Caenorhabditis elegans: one gene and its partners. The protein of the gene in region 3 purifies or fractionates together with the protein of the main gene of each other region. This does not show direct contact. Each region holds a gene or a part of one and is shown on either strand. Other genes may lie near its edges.

Region 1 (3,272 bases), on a different chromosome or scaffold from region 3:
AATGGACATCACGTTTTATTAAAATGGATAATATTAAAATGAGGGGAAATAATACACAAATCGAAAAAAAAGTGGCGGGGTGATTATATGCCAAAATATGTACGAGCCACATTAAAATCATTTATAGCCATACATTTACACCCACTGAAAATTCAAAATTTTCTTGAAATTAAAATGCCCACCCATAATGCTGATCCCCCGCTGCCCTCTCGCCTTCTCACCAGAGATGTGCTGCACCTTTTTTGAAACTTTCGGAAAATTTACAAAATTTTTCTTTTTTCGTTGTTTAGACGAAGTTTTTATTGGAAATTTAAATTATTTTGATTTTGATTGAAAGTGAAAAGTTCCTAAAAAAAAAGTAAAAATATTTCTGTGTTCCAATATAAATTTTCCAATTTTATCAACAAAAAAATGTGCCGCGCCTCTCTTCTCACCATCCCCTAGATTAAATTTTTGCGGGTGACTTTCTCTCCCTTCCCCACCCTCGCCCGTTCTATATATATATTATATACATAAGATTTATTTTCTTAATTTGTCCAAAAAGTGCCTCCCTTTCTGTTTTTCTCAGTTTTTTTTTCTTCAAATTTTGCATAAAAATCGCATTTTTATTTCACTACTACAGGAACACTGGGTTCGGCGCACACACAAAAAAAGAAACCGCTAGACATTCGAGTGGATATTTTTTACACACAAACAATTATTTTCCAATTATTTCGGTGGGCTCAAGTTAGTTTTGACGATGGCAGATGGAGTTGGAGCTGAAAATTTTATTTATTTCTCTCTGATTTTCAGAAATTTCAAGCCTACATTCTTGGAAGGAATACCAAGTTTGTTCAGCATGAGCTCTTCCGGTCTTTGCCACGTCAACAGCCTCTATCGGATAACAAAAGGCGGCCATCGTGGCCAAGCCGATGGTAGTGGTGAGGAGACGTCCGACCGGGCCACGTTTCAGGCCTAAAACGAATCCGGCCATTCCACCAACGGTGATTGCTGCGGCTTTTGGAAGAGCAGTCCATTCTTCTGTCAGATATGCATTGCATTTGGTCGCCGCTTTTTTTGTTTGAGTCATCGCACAATCGACAACTTTGAAGCGTTCCTGAAACAAAAATCGGTGATAAAAATATATTTTTCACAAAATTAGTTTAATTTTTACTTTTACTCAATTTAATGATATTAAAAATTTTCAATTTCCTCTCGAAAATGGATATTTTCAATGTATTTTTTTCTTTTGTGAAACACATTCGGTTTTCACTTGAAAAAACTACAGATATCAAATAATTACTTAAATACAAAAAATTAGCTAAATAAAATAATCCAAACTCTTCTTTTAAAAAAAAACCAATTAAAAACGAAATATAATTTTTTCTCCACATAAAATCGCGTAAAACTCACAGCAACACGATCATACTCCTGCTCACATGCGATACGAATAGTCGCGAATTCTCTTTGAAGAGGAAGTGGCTCTTCTGGAAGGAATTTCTGCTTCAGTGGAGCATTATCTTCAGCATAAATCGGAAGTTGCTCAATCTTAATAGGTTTTGAATCTCCATTATTCGTCGTGTTTTTCGAGGTGACAAGTTGCCAGAATTGTCCAAAAACATTTGTCACTTGTTCACCGGCGTTTGAAATTGTCTCCACAATCGGCTTGTCTTGTGTCATCTGGAAAATCAAGCGGTAAAACAATAAAATAATAAAACAAGAATAAATATTTTAAAATTGATTAGCTTATTATAATTATTAAAAAACCATGAAGAAATAAGTATTCCTACATTTGTGGCGCAAAATATCTCGTAGCGCAGGCTCTGTGTCGATTTACGGAGTTTGTGTTTATTCACGATGCGCCTTTAAACAATTATTTAAAATTGATTTTCTTTGTATTTAATTACCACTTTTTCATAAATCGACACCGACGCCTGCGCTACTATATATTTCGCGCCAGGCTTTCTTGTTTTTTTTTTAAATATTTTCTAACATTTAAACCCCTCTGAGGACGGTTTTAAAATTAAAATAGATAATTAACAGGCAATTAACCATGTCTTTAACCAATCCAAATTACCCTTAAAACACCCAAAATAATTTATTAAAAAAACGAAAATTGGGGAGATCTTTTGCATAACAAAACAGAAGAATAATAAACAAAGGATGTTCAGAATTTGGACAGTTTAGAATGGGGTTTTAAAATGGAACGTCAGTAATGGAAGTTTAAGAACGCGATCTTCTGCCGGCTGGAGAACGAGAGCGGCTGGCACGGCGGAATCTGTTGGGCCCTCCAAGTGGCATATTGTTGGCTCCTGAGCCACGGCCGCCCATTGGAGAACGTCTGCGATGTGGTGGTGGACTGCGGCCTCTGGAATTTGATGAAAATTATCAAAATATACTACTTTTCCTTGATTACTTACCCTCTTCTCATTGGTGACATTCTGTCTCTTGGTGGCGGCGAGCGTCTTCTAAATGGAGAACTTCTACGCTGGAATGGGACAGATTGTCGTCCGATAGTCATTTCGACGTGAACAGCCATTCCATCGATTTGTCCTCCATCCATGTGCTTGATCGACTTTTCGGCGTCTTCCAAATTGTCATATTCAACGTATCCATATCCACGATGAACATGGTTATGGAAGCGATCTGGTGGAAGATCGACATTCTTGATGGCTCCGTAGATCGAGAAAATCTCCTCGAGGTGCGTTTTCAGAACATTTCTGCTCAAATTTTTGATCACTACACGCTTGGCCGGACTGGCTGATCTTGCTGCTGGGCTTCTCCTCGGAGAAGCGCGTCTCCTCTGACGGCTCCCGCTTCTGTCACGACGATCACGACGTGGTGGCGATGGGGATGGACGACGGCGACGTGGTGGTGATGGTGATGGTCGCATTGGGCGATCGCGATCCGCGCGTGCTCCTCTTGGCGGTGAACCACGACGGATTGGAGAACGAGAGCGTCCTCCACGAGCTGGTGGGCGGGTATCACGACGACGTGGTGAGCGAGAACGAGAACGGCCACTGGACGATGAGCTGGAGGAGCGAGATCCTGATGAACTACTTCTGAAATATCGATTATTAAGCTATTGTATGAAAATTGTAAAGCATACCCAGAAGATGACGATCCAGAGCTACTGGACGAGCTGCTTGAAGACGAGCGAGCCCTCTTTTTGGTTTCTTCTTTCTCAACCATACTGAAAAATTATTTCATATACTCGAATAGACATCAACTAAGTAAGAAAATTTTCACCGCGTGGTGTTCGAGCAGAAGAAGAGACAGAATGTTGGCTAAAG
Region 2 (4,443 bases), on a different chromosome or scaffold from region 3:
ATTGCAATTCGAAAAAGACGACCGCAACGCACACGCGCCGCATTCCGAAGAATACAGAATGCAGAAAGCACCATTGTGCGCGAAAGCCGCGATTTGTCGGTTGCTGTGTTTTATAGGATCAGCTGAGTGAGCTGCTGAATTTAGCTTTGCGCTGGGGCGATAACGTGACCAATGAGGCTTTGCCGAGGTGCGTTTATTGCTGGTTGAAAACTTTTCCCAATTGCCCGCGATGTCCCCTGAAACATGGGTGGCATACGCAATTTTTGAACGCCTCTAGGAGGCAGAATATAAATACTGAACAGTTGAACATTTAGTTGGAAAACAGTATCCTTGGAGCATTCAGGGCGCTAGTCAACATTGTAGAGATGAAAAATATATTCCTAGGTAAAGTGTGCACAATATTAGTACCATTAAAATACGCTTGCCAATTTCTTCTATTCTTACTTTTTCTGGCATTACACCGTAATCGCGTTTAGATTACTACTCTTCTTATGAAAAGGTTTTATGGCACGTTTTCAGATTCATTTAAACTGGTGTATACAAGTTTTAATAGTCAGAAACCCAATCACATTTATCCATAAAATCGAAACGAATACATCTGACAGTGTTGGGCCAACTTGGGTGCATCTCACGACGATAGGATGTAATAAATAAGACAAAAATCGGAGACATGGGGAATCTGTACAAAAAAAAATGGGTGGACGGGCGAAAATAAGTTAATCGAGGACCGGAAAGAGAATGAAAACCGAATAGGGTACAATTAATTATGTGTCAGATATCTTGGAGTGGCGCTGAATTTGGCATATCCCTTGACAACCTTATTGATAGCTTCAAGGAAATCTTTTTCAGTTGCCACCTTTCTTCTAGCACGAATTGCAAACATTCCAGCTTCGGTGCAGACTGAGCGAATTTCGGCTCCTGTACTGTTTGGGCACAGACGAGCAAGTAAATCATAACGAATATCTCTTTCAACGCTCATTTGTTTTGCATGAATCTTGAGAATGTGAGCACGACCTGCAAGGTCTGGAAGAGCGAATTCGACTTTACGATCCAATCGACCAGGTCTCATGAGAGCGGGATCGAGAGTGTCCGGTCTGTTTGTTGCCATAAGCACCTGAAAATATCAAATTATTTTAATGAAACACTCATATTTACAATACATGTAAGCATTAATTTTTTGGAAACTTATCAAACGAAAAATGTGTGTCTTTTTTTTTGGATGAAAGGACTGAACTAATGATATAAACTGCCTTCAAGAAAGCAAGAGATAAATAAATTTATATTACAGATTTTTTTGGGTTATTTCCATAAAGAATTAAAGACAAACCTTGATGTTTCCACGTGGATCGAATCCGTCAAGTTGGTTAATCAACTCGAGCATAGTACGTTGAACTTCATTGTCACCTCCTTGTCCATCATCAAAACGAGCACCTCCAACAGCATCAATTTCATCAAAGAAGATAAGACATGCCTTCTTGGTACGAGCCATTTCGAACAACTCACGAACCATTCGAGCTCCTTCTCCGACATATTTCTGAACCAACTCTGATCCAATAACACGAATGAAGCAAGCATCTGTTCGATTGGCAACGGCACGAGCGCAAAGCGTCTTTCCTGTTCCTGGTGGACCGTAGAGCAAAACTCCTTTTGGTGGCTCGATTCCGAGATTAACGTAACGCTCGGGATGAAGAAGTGGAGTCTCGACAACTTCTCGAAGCTTTTCAATTTGATCCTTGCAGCCTCCGACATCCGAATATGTTACATCTGGTTTTTCTTCAACCTGCATCATTGTGACGGTTGGATCAATTTTGGCGGGCAACGGAAGATGAATTTGATACTTGTTACGGTCTACTCCTACTCTCATGCCCTCCTGAATCATTTTTCAATTATGTGTGAAATCTAATTACAATTTCAAACCTCAATATCAGTAGGTGCAACGGAATCAGCAAGGTCTACAACAAACTTAGCGAACTGTTTTACGTTGATCAAGTAACGCGGATCGTGCTTGTCGCTGGTGATAATTTTTGTGCATCTGGCAACTTGGAGAGGCTGTTCTTGCTGCATTGCTTGTTTATCAGCAGCAATATCCCATAGAGCTGGTGGAGCCAACCCGGTGTCTGATTCTTTCACTCCAGAAAGTTCGTTCACCTGTAGAACAATGAAATAAAATTAGGAGCACGATGAAATAAATACCTTCTTCAGACAGTTTTCAATATCCGCGTCCAATGTTTTGAGCTGTTCCGCGTATGGACCTTGCCCGTATCTTTTCAAAACAGCAATGTCTCCTTCGTCGAGAGCTAAATTCAATTTTCAGAATTAGTTTCCTGAACGATATCCACATACCCTGGAAATTCTTCTCTTCCTCCTTGGTATCATCTTTTTTAGTTTTGCGCATGTCATCTCCAAGGTGATCTGGCATTTTCTGCAAACGAACAAATATTTTTAGAAGAAATGAATATGGAAAAAGCTTTGAAATGAGAATCTCTTTTGAAAATTGATGATTTTTCAGTGTCGCCGGACGCGTCGCGTGTCGTCTGTCTGATAGAGCGCGTTAGCATTTCACGCGGGAGAATGAAATTTATGAAAAATATTCGTATGTCAAGTTGAGAAACAAAAGAAATGATTCATCTGCAAGAAAAAATGTATTTTTTGTATATAAATTTAGTGAAAAGGAATTTCAGATGTCCTCGGGGCGCTCTTGAAAAGTTTACTAAAACTTTTTCACATTGTGGAGATTTGTCGTCTGCTGGCAAAATCTTGTAACCAGCCTGCGCTAAATGTTTTATAGTGAATACTAGCATTCTTTGTACAGTATAGAATATGAAATAGCATACACTTATTCTTTAATATCAAATGAAAAAGCTGGAAAAATTGTAACTTGTAGCGACTACATATCCTCCTGGTTTTCTCATGAGTCCAAAAGTTGTCAAAAACATTTATCTTAATTGCTAGAATCAATATGAACCAGTTATAAAAACAAAAACAACGGTTGACCTATAAAGCAAGACACCGGTAAACCCGTGGTCAAATGGGGGGAAGAAAAGCCAAAAAACAGCGGAATTGGTTCGGAAGATAAAAAACAAGTTTCAATAAAAACCTCGTGAGTTCTAAATACAATCAAACCATAAATCACAGTTGTTCAAAAAAAAGATAATAAAAATTAAATTCTAATTAGTTAAGACTGGAACCGGGTGAGCTTCGGTATTAAATACCCATTTATCGAGTGAAATCAGTGATTCGTCTGCAAACGTCAAATAGGCATACTTCAGAAACTCGGCAAGGAAGAAGGATTGCATCACGTCCTCACGGCCCTGAAATTCAGAAATATTCAGAAAAGCCCACAAGTTCAGATACTTACAGCTTTAGGATTATAAACATTTTGTAGACCAGTAAATCCACTATCAACTCTACAGTACTTCTCAATAGCTTGAACAGCATCCCATACCCAATCTCTATACATTGTTTTTCCAGTTAATCTCCATAAATAGAACCATCCTTCAATGACTTCTGGTCTTTGAATATATCCATTTTCCGAGTGTTTACTGGTTGCTTCGTCACGTTCATTGAAGTAGAACATTTCAGGTCCAATGTGGGTCTCGGAACGAATATAGCTTTCATGGCAGGTTTTCGCCAACTCTTCCGCCAATGTCATAATTCTTAATTTCTCTTCTTCAGTATCCTCGTTGATGGCTTGTAGAGCAAACATTCCAGGTACAAAACAAGCGAGATGTCCCATTTTATGTTGAGCTTGACCATTGTTCAACTCAACTGTGTATGTAAGATTTGATTGTTTGGAAACTTTAATCATGCTGAAAATATGAAAATTGTTGGAAAAAGAAATAGAACAATAGAACTCACTGTTTCTGAATAGCATCACTGACGTCCCAATACATATTCTTAGCTTGCGTATCAGTATAATTTGATTGAACATAACTCTTGATAAGATATTCATAAAATGAATCACCAAGTGCTCCAAGGGACATATGACTTCCTGTGAATTTTCCTGTATCCGGATTAATGTAGTTTGAGTAGAGTCCATTAGGTTTTTCAGCTTTTTCAAGAGCATCTCTCACTTTCTTCACTTTCTTCTCAAAAATTGGAGCATTGGAAATTCTACTGAGATACAGGAATTCAAGATGAAGACTTCCAATTTCGGAAAGAATTGATTGTCCTCCATTAGCCCATCCATAGTTACTTGCATGTTTTGATGCTACATCCAAATTACTTTTTGGAATTCCAGATGGTGTATTGAAAGCTGGAAGTAAAGCTTCTCCAACTTCCCTAGCTTTTTCACTGAAATTAATTAAATCAAGAACTGAATTGGCCAAGAACTGAAAATCAAGAACTGAAACTTACATATAAAATGACTCCTGCGTCAAAGCATACAACGAAAGAAGACCTCCCAAAAAGCGAATAGTCGTCTCGAAAACTGAAAGTGTTGAC
Region 3 (3,444 bases):
ACTGTGTGCGATCTTGTGGGGAAAAGCTTCGTAATGACGGCAGTTTTCATTCCACCTTCGGAGAGTCCCATCGCAGCTCTCAAACCGGCTCCTCCTGCTCCCACAACAACCGCGTCAAAAGTGTGATCAACGACATCAAAATTGGTGGTTGCGCTCACTTGTTTTCTTTGAAAATTGATAAAATTAGTGAAATGGCGTTAGAAAATAAATTATCTCACTTCATATAAGTGCGAACAGGTGTTTTCGCACGGTTTATCGACTTTACGACATTAAGCATCTTGCTGAAAATACAGGAAAAATATAGAACGTTCAGAAAAACAAATAAAAATCCGATAACGGTTGAGGTGAAACCAAAAATGAGTTGGCCGCGCGAACGATACACCGTAGTTCACACTTTCGGTGCGAGACCCACCGCTCAATTTTTGTTCCTGCGCCTTTAAGTTTGAAACAACTACGGTACATTTTTCTCTATTTATTTACATGAAATTTCTGAAAAGAAACGTTTCATTTGAAATTTTATCGTAAATTTACATCTTCATTTCATAAAATTCCAGAAGAGAAAAACAATACACAAACACGACTTTTAAAAACCAAAGGCCTGTCGTTCATTTTCGAAAACTAACAGTCTAAAAATGAAAACAAAAAAAAAAAGAAAATGATGTTTTATTGATAGGGGCCTAGAGCAGGACACGAACTCGAAGATTAGTTTGCCAATCCATCCAGATGAATGGTATTTACCAGAACCACTTGGACATCCATTGTGGGAACCAATTATCGTAGAATTTCGGTCCAGCGTACTCAGAGTGTTGGCGCCAAAGATGATCACGGGTTTCATTTGATCCCCTTGAGTGAACGAATACCTAAAAAATATGATAAGCTCCAGAATTGTTATAAATTTTTTACCTCAGTAGCAGTTGGATCCCACCACTTGTCTCCGAGAGTAAAGTACACTGGCTCTCCGTACCAGGTTCCAGTCTTCCATCCTGGAACATCCTTCATAATTTCCTCTTCCAGAGCACGATTCTTGGCCAACAATTTGAGCCAATATCTGTCACGCTCGGCAGTCAAGAACGGCTCCATTGCGTTGTTGATGTCAACATCTTCGAACTTTTCAGTGCTGTAAACTTGATATTTTTGGAGATAAATTCACTAGTTATCTTACATGTCCTTCTTCTTTCCTTCAAGAGCAGCATAGACTCCGTAGGCAGTAGCTCCGAAAATGGCGGCGACGACGGTTCCAGCTTAAATTTGTGATTGATTTTAAGAAAGTTTTGTGTTTTGAATCAAAATTTGATAGACAGAAACTTAAAAATAGAATACTGTTTCAACAATAAATTTGATAAAAATGTATTTATTCTTCGCGTTATATTATTTATAGAAAATAGTGTGAAATATCAAAAATTACAGCAAAATAGCAAACTGATCCCAAAATATTATGCTAAAAACGTTCTCTGTCATTTATATTTTATTGCTCAAGACAAACAGCTTTATTTTTATAAATAGCGTCTAAGCCTTTTTATTCTTTAAAGTTTCTTGAGAATCGTTTTTCAAAATATTTATTCTGTATTTCACAGCATTCTTCTCAATTTTTTCGGCGTTTTGCGTTGTTTCATTTCGAGTAATATTTTAAAGCAAAAAAAAACAACTCACGACTCCAGACAAGCTTCGGAAAAGTGCGATGGAAGTTGAATGCACGATAGCCTCCTTTTGGAGGCATATCCTGCCGAAACTCTGCTCCAGTGGCCATTTTACCTGAAAATAATGAATATAAATTCGATAAAAAACCGAATAAATTATAAAAATCGATAATTTCGTTGAGGAAAAAAAAACTTGCAAACAGAATAGAAATTGATAAGTCGGGCAAAATGTGCGGCACGGGAATGTGGGCGTGGTCTTCGTCGCAACACTGCGGCGCACTTTCACAGCGATTTATTATTTTGGCGCGTTTATCTTTTTTTTTTGAAGACGTATTTTGCATTTATCGCTTGTTTTCTTCTTGAAATTGCTTTTTTAATATAAAAATCTGCTTTCAAACAAAATTCAAACTTATTTTCAGTACTAAAATGAATCCAAATCATAATGAAGGCCTCCTCGAGCTGTACACACAAGCAATCTCACTCGAAGCTCTCAAAGACGCTGAGCAATTCCTCGAGAATAGTTTGCTAGGAAAAGATGCACAAGTCGAACGTCTACTCGCTCAAGTTCTCATCGAAGAGCAGCAAATCGAGACGAATCGCAAAAAGATAGCACAATTGAGAATCGAGAAAGAAGAACTGGAATTCGGTGGGTTTTCGGAACTTTTCTGGTTTTATAATAATAATTAATTAATTAATTTAAATTCAGATTGTGCAAATAGTGACCTGAAGTCGTTGGAGCAGATGCAAGCCGAGCGAGATGAGCTCCAGAGGAAGTGCCAACCGGGGCAGCACACTAAATCGGTGAGATAGGGGAGATTTTGAAGCTGAGAAATGCTTTTTGTTATCTGAAAACATTCAGCGTTTCTATTATTATTTTTAATTCTAGAATCACAAATCATCTGAACAACTTTTGAGAATGAAAAAAGAAACCGACGCTCTACGTGCCTACATGAAGAAGATAAGTCAATTCGAAGACTGAAGCCATCAAATGAATCTCTATCAATTATCCCTCAATTTAAATTAATTTCCATTCAAATCGATCTGTTCTCATATTTCCTCATGATGTGATTCTCTAATCTTTTGTACATCTACAAGTTATTTTGTTTTATAAAGCCACATCTCACTTATGCATAGTTTTTGTGTCCAAAACGGAAGTGTTATTGGGAAGAAAAAGTACAACATAAGGGAAGAGTGAAGAAAATCGAGAGACGCAGATATGACTTTTTATTTGCGAACACGAAAAGCAAAGTGACCAGCAGCATTGGACACTTTTCGAGCAAACTTTTCGTCCGAGGAGGAGCTCATTGAGCTTAAGTCTCAGAGCACTGACCATTACTTCGGTCACTCTACTGTTTTGAGAAGCGTTGAGCTCTTTCAATCGTGTAAAAATGTTACCAAAAACTGGATCATTCGATGGGATTCCTAAAAATTTCAGAGCAAGTTTGAGAAGTGAGTATTTATGGTCTCGAAATTTTTTTTAAATCTTGAATTCTTATTTTTGTTTTTCTTTCTCTAGTTACTCCCAGGATTAAACCAGTAAATTAAAAAAATGCACTTAAAAATTCGATAACTTCCTAGAGTAACTTCCTACTGTAAATTTAAAGGCGCATACACAAAATATTTTTCATAACGCGCGGCAAGACCAATCCACTAAATTCGTCCTCCCTTGAAGTTTTTCTGCCAAATTTCTCATTTTTCAGAATAAATTCCTGAAAACTTTTGAATTCAAAATTTTCGTGCTTAAAAATAAGATGTACGAGACAATGTAAACACCAAATATTATTGCACATGACCCCCGCTAATCTGT
Region 4 (3,869 bases), on a different chromosome or scaffold from region 3:
CTTGTTTTTTAGCAAATTTCTATATATTTTCTCCCCAATGTTGCAGGATTTTCAATCATTTTTTTTCCTAAAATTTCGAGTAATTTTCGCTGAGATTTTTAGCTAATTTTTCCATAAATTCTCAGCATTTTTGCCGAATTTTCAGCCAATTTATCCGGATTTTCTCTGGATTTTAGCCAATTTTTTTTCCATAATTTCTTTCCATTTTTGCCGGATTTTCAGCCATTTTTTCCATAATTTCTCTCTATTTTTGCTGGATTTTCGGCAATTTTCCCATATTTTGATTCGATTTTCACCGGATTTCAGGCCAATTTTTCTCCAATTCTTTACCTTATTAGTTCTGCCTCTATATGCATTACTCTCCTCAACCAATCGTGTTTTACGAATTTCACTGTCATCTTGTCGTTGTCCAAGTGCTGTCACTTCAGCCTCCACTCTTGTCTGAAATTTCAGATTTTTTAAATAATTTTTTTTTCCAAAAAACTTGAATTCGGTCCCAATCTACAGATTCCCATGCTCTTGAGACGATTTCCATAAGGTCTGAAATAAGAAATTAATCGAATTATTTAATCACAGCAAAAAATCACACAATTTGTTAGAAATAGCACACGGATTAAAACCAGAAAGGTTGAAAAAGTGAAAAAAAAAAATTAAAGAAAATCTACATTTTATTCGCTGAAAAAATTTAAATTTTTGGAAAAAAAAACGGGAAAAAACAAGAAAAAAATAGGAGAATTTGGAGAGAACTCTACGGGAAAACGAAGGGTATTTGCAGAAAAACGGCCAATTTTTCAGAGAAATCTAGCTTTCAGTAATATTGTAGCGCCAGTCGTTGTATTTACGGTAGTCTTTGCGAAGATGATAGTCGGCTGGAAGCTCATTGAGCACTTTAGCTGCTTCTGCCTTGTAGTCACGGAGCTTCACCTCTGAAATTGGGGAAAATTGAATTTGCCGCGAAAAATGGGATTTTAAATGAGTTTTTAGTGAGATTTTCGTGAAATTCAGGTGGGAATGATGCCTAAAACTGAAAAAATTGATTTTTTTGACTTGAAATTCGGATTTTTTCCGCAAAATCTATCAAAATTTAACTTAAAATACAATATTTTTTGGATAGAAATTTGAATTTGTCGCTAAAAAATGTCTGAAATTAAGGTTTAAATAGTGATATTTTGGCTCGAAATTTGAAATTATTCCGAAAAATACAAATTTTACCAGTTTTACAAGGCTTTTTTGACTGAAAAAAGGTGAATTTCGTGACTTTTTAGTTTTAAAAAGCTTTAAAATAGTCAAAAAAGCGAAAAATTTAACAAAAAAGTGGTTTTTTTTTCAGGAAAATATGCAAAAACGTTAGAATTTTTCAAGTTTCAGGAGTTTCTGGGAACTTTTCTGAAAAGTTCATACAAAAATTGAGAGAAAAACAGTGGAAGAATTCAGCTAAAATATTGATTTTTTCGCATTTTTAAATTAATTTTATCGTAAATTCTATAATTTCTGTACCTGGAGCCGCGGTGGCCGAGTCATAGACATGAAGTTTGCTGAAGTATCCAAGCTTTGGACGCGTCAAGTTCAAATTAGCTTCCACGCAGGCATCGAGCTCCTTCTGGTCGTCATGGCACCTGAAAATTGAATATTCTACTGCTTTTTCGCTTTTTTTTTCGGAAAAAAATCACGTTAAAATTTTTTAACGGTTTATTTTCGATGAAATTTCATTTTTGGAAAGCTCACTTTGACATGTAAAGCTTGGCACTGCTCTGATCAACACATTCGGCGAGCTTCTGAGTCTGTGGAAGGCAGGAACGCTTCAAAGATTGAAGAAAATTGACTCCACACGCGGTCAGCGCGGCTCCCTCCTTCAAAACGGCACGTGGATCCTCGGCTTCCTTTCGTCGAAGCATGAACTCCTGCAAAAAATCTCAATTTTATCGAAAATTTGGCAGAAAAACCAACATTTGCCTCCTTTTCGCAATGTTTTGCCATATAGGGAGCGATGGATTTGAGCCATGGAGTTGATAAAGTGATTTCCTGAGGAACAGTGAGCTCCTCGTCACTTGGAAAATGCGTATCCTTGGTTATACTCATCGGAAAATGTACCCTGAAATTGGAAAATTGGAAACCAAGCGGAAACTGTTACAGAGAGGGAATTCGGTGATGAAATTTATTATTTTCGATGAGAAAAATTTGAAATTTGATTTTTAAACAAAAAAAAACAAAAAAAAATCGATTGAAAATAGTTTATTTTGATTTTAAATGATAAAATAAAAAATAAAATTTGTTTTGCGCAACGGCTGTTTGCCCGTAAATCCACACAAGTTTAAAGGCGCATGCCATGTTGGCTCTCTTCCCTGCGAGACCCGCGGCATCTCATGTCGATTTACGGGCTATCGAACTTTGCCCTTTTCTTGCTCCGATTAAAGTTTTCTAAAAAAAAAGCTTATTTAATTGAAGAAATTCAGATTTCATTTCAGATTAAATATTATGAAATTATTGTGTAAATTTCTGCTGTAAATCTGAAAATCTAGCTGAAAAATGGTGGAAGTCGCGCCAGCCGGCACAAAATCGCCGGCGCTCTCCGTTCCAGTTGTCATTTGGGGCCCGAAACCGCCGGAAAACAAGATTTGCGCAATTCGTGTGCTTCCTGATGGCGCAACAATTATCACAGGTTAATATTCATCGAATTTTCTAAACAATAAAACAAAAAATCTGAAATTTCGAAATTTTCAGGCGCTGAAAATGGCCACATTATTATTTGGAAGCTAGCAGAAGGACTTATGCCAAAGCAGCTAATGATTGGACATTCTCAAAAGATTACAGCAATCTCTCAGACAACAAATACACCGACAAATACGTTAGTAACGCAGGATTTGGAAAAAATCGATAATTTCCGAAAAATTCCAGACGTTTTGTCTCAGCTTCAGCCGACGGACGTGTATGCCTCTGGGAGATTCAAGATGGACGGTGCATTGATTCAACATCTTCTATTGCAATTCACAGATATATTTATCCATACGTAGGCGCTGGAAAATCGATTTTTAGCCGAAAAAACCGAGAATTTTTTTGATTTCAGACGTATAAATCGTCCCGTCACACGAGAGCAACTCGTCTTTTCTGTATTGGAGATTATAGTGATATTCAAGTAATGGATCCACAAGATTTGACAGTTGTATTCTCAATTTCTTCAAGAGTTGAACCGGATTGGATAAGCTGTTTTACAATTATTAGTCATCCGGAAAAGGAGGATCAGTTGATTGGAATGACTCTGAGTGGAATGATGAAGGTGTGGAATTAATGGAAAATCGATTAAAAAGCGAAAAAATTAATTTTTTTCAGCCAAAAATCACCGAAAAACATTAAAAAATATCATATTTTCGCGGAAAAATTGCATTTTTAAATGTTTTAATGTGAAAATACAAATTTTCTAGAAAAAATCTTCAATTTTATGTAGAAATGGAAAAAAAAATCGCGATACCCTGATTCAAGCTTATTTTTGAACGAAATTTGGTGGTTTTGAGCAAAAAATTGTAATTTTTGCCCAAAAATTTGGATTTTAAAAGTTTTTTATTAATAATTTCGATTTTTCAAACTTGTAAAACGACAATTTCCGTGAAATTTTCAAATTTTTTTCACTTAAAAATCACAGTTTTTGGAATTTTTTCTCCAGAAAGCCAATTTTCTACTTAATTTGGAAGATTTTTTGTATAGCCTTTAGATTAAAAAAGCTGATTTTAAAGCTATTTTTAAGAAAAAAAAAATTAATTTTTACGACTTTTGACGTTGATTTTGGTGTAAAAATGTATAAATCTATTGAAAAAATGTCATTTTGGACAGTTTTCGAGTGGAAAATTGAATTTTTGAAGCTTAAAAAAAAATTT

What was found.
Region 1: the proteins of ndua-13 (region 3) and moma-1 fractionate together in Caenorhabditis elegans (co-fractionation; one large-scale study listed by BioGRID). This does not show direct contact.
Region 2: the proteins of ndua-13 (region 3) and rpt-1 fractionate together in Caenorhabditis elegans (co-fractionation; one large-scale study listed by BioGRID). This does not show direct contact.
Region 4: the proteins of ndua-13 (region 3) and ndua-8 fractionate together in Caenorhabditis elegans (co-fractionation; one large-scale study listed by BioGRID). This does not show direct contact.

The regions. Positions count from the first base shown.
Region 1 is NC_003281.10:850,738-854,009, forward strand, and holds moma-1 (MICOS complex subunit MIC27), read right to left. Parts: upstream 1,660-3,272; coding exon 1,393-1,659; intron 1,097-1,392; coding exon 808-1,096; intron 759-807; coding exon 709-758; 3' UTR 594-708; downstream 1-593. Other genes in the region: rnp-5 (RRM domain-containing protein), read right to left, coding at 2,203-2,347, 2,400-3,041, 3,089-3,171. UniProt on the Caenorhabditis elegans protein: Sustains mitochondrial morphology probably through maintaining cristae morphology. May act as a component of the MICOS complex, a large protein complex of the mitochondria.
Region 2 is NC_003283.11:11,979,976-11,984,418, forward strand, and holds rpt-1 (26S proteasome regulatory subunit 7), read right to left. Parts: upstream 2,423-4,443; 5' UTR 2,420-2,422; coding exon 2,344-2,419; intron 2,298-2,343; coding exon 2,194-2,297; intron 2,149-2,193; coding exon 1,918-2,148; intron 1,871-1,917; coding exon 1,328-1,870; intron 1,115-1,327; coding exon 761-1,114; 3' UTR 559-760; downstream 1-558. Other genes in the region: Mannosyl-oligosaccharide 1,2-alpha-mannosidase mans-2, read right to left, coding at 3,168-3,311, 3,359-3,809, 3,859-4,293, 4,357-4,443. UniProt on the Caenorhabditis elegans protein: The 26S proteasome is involved in the ATP-dependent degradation of ubiquitinated proteins. The regulatory (or ATPase) complex confers ATP dependency and substrate specificity to the 26S complex.
Region 3 is NC_003279.8:10,685,307-10,688,750, forward strand, and holds ndua-13 (NADH dehydrogenase [ubiquinone] 1 alpha subcomplex subunit 13), read right to left. Parts: upstream 1,753-3,444; 5' UTR 1,748-1,752; coding exon 1,651-1,747; intron 1,242-1,650; coding exon 1,163-1,241; intron 1,118-1,162; coding exon 904-1,117; intron 861-903; coding exon 735-860; 3' UTR 519-734; downstream 1-518. Other genes in the region: sdha-2 (Succinate dehydrogenase [ubiquinone] flavoprotein subunit, mitochondrial), read right to left, coding at 1-165, 219-277; kbp-5 (KNL (kinetochore null) Binding Protein), read left to right, coding at 2,064-2,283, 2,344-2,438, 2,524-2,616; tag-272 (Structural protein), read left to right, coding at 3,026-3,086.
Region 4 is NC_003281.10:2,527,286-2,531,154, reverse strand, and holds ndua-8 (NADH dehydrogenase [ubiquinone] 1 alpha subcomplex subunit 8), read right to left. Parts: upstream 2,093-3,869; 5' UTR 2,080-2,092; coding exon 1,948-2,079; intron 1,902-1,947; coding exon 1,726-1,901; intron 1,617-1,725; coding exon 1,498-1,616; intron 927-1,497; coding exon 802-926; 3' UTR 653-801; downstream 1-652. Other genes in the region: cone-1 (Protein CASP), read right to left, coding at 331-441, 485-535; Homeobox protein cut-like ceh-44, read right to left, coding at 331-441, 485-535; rbc-2 (WD_REPEATS_REGION domain-containing protein), read left to right, coding at 2,527-2,659, 2,722-2,845, 2,896-3,007, 3,065-3,274.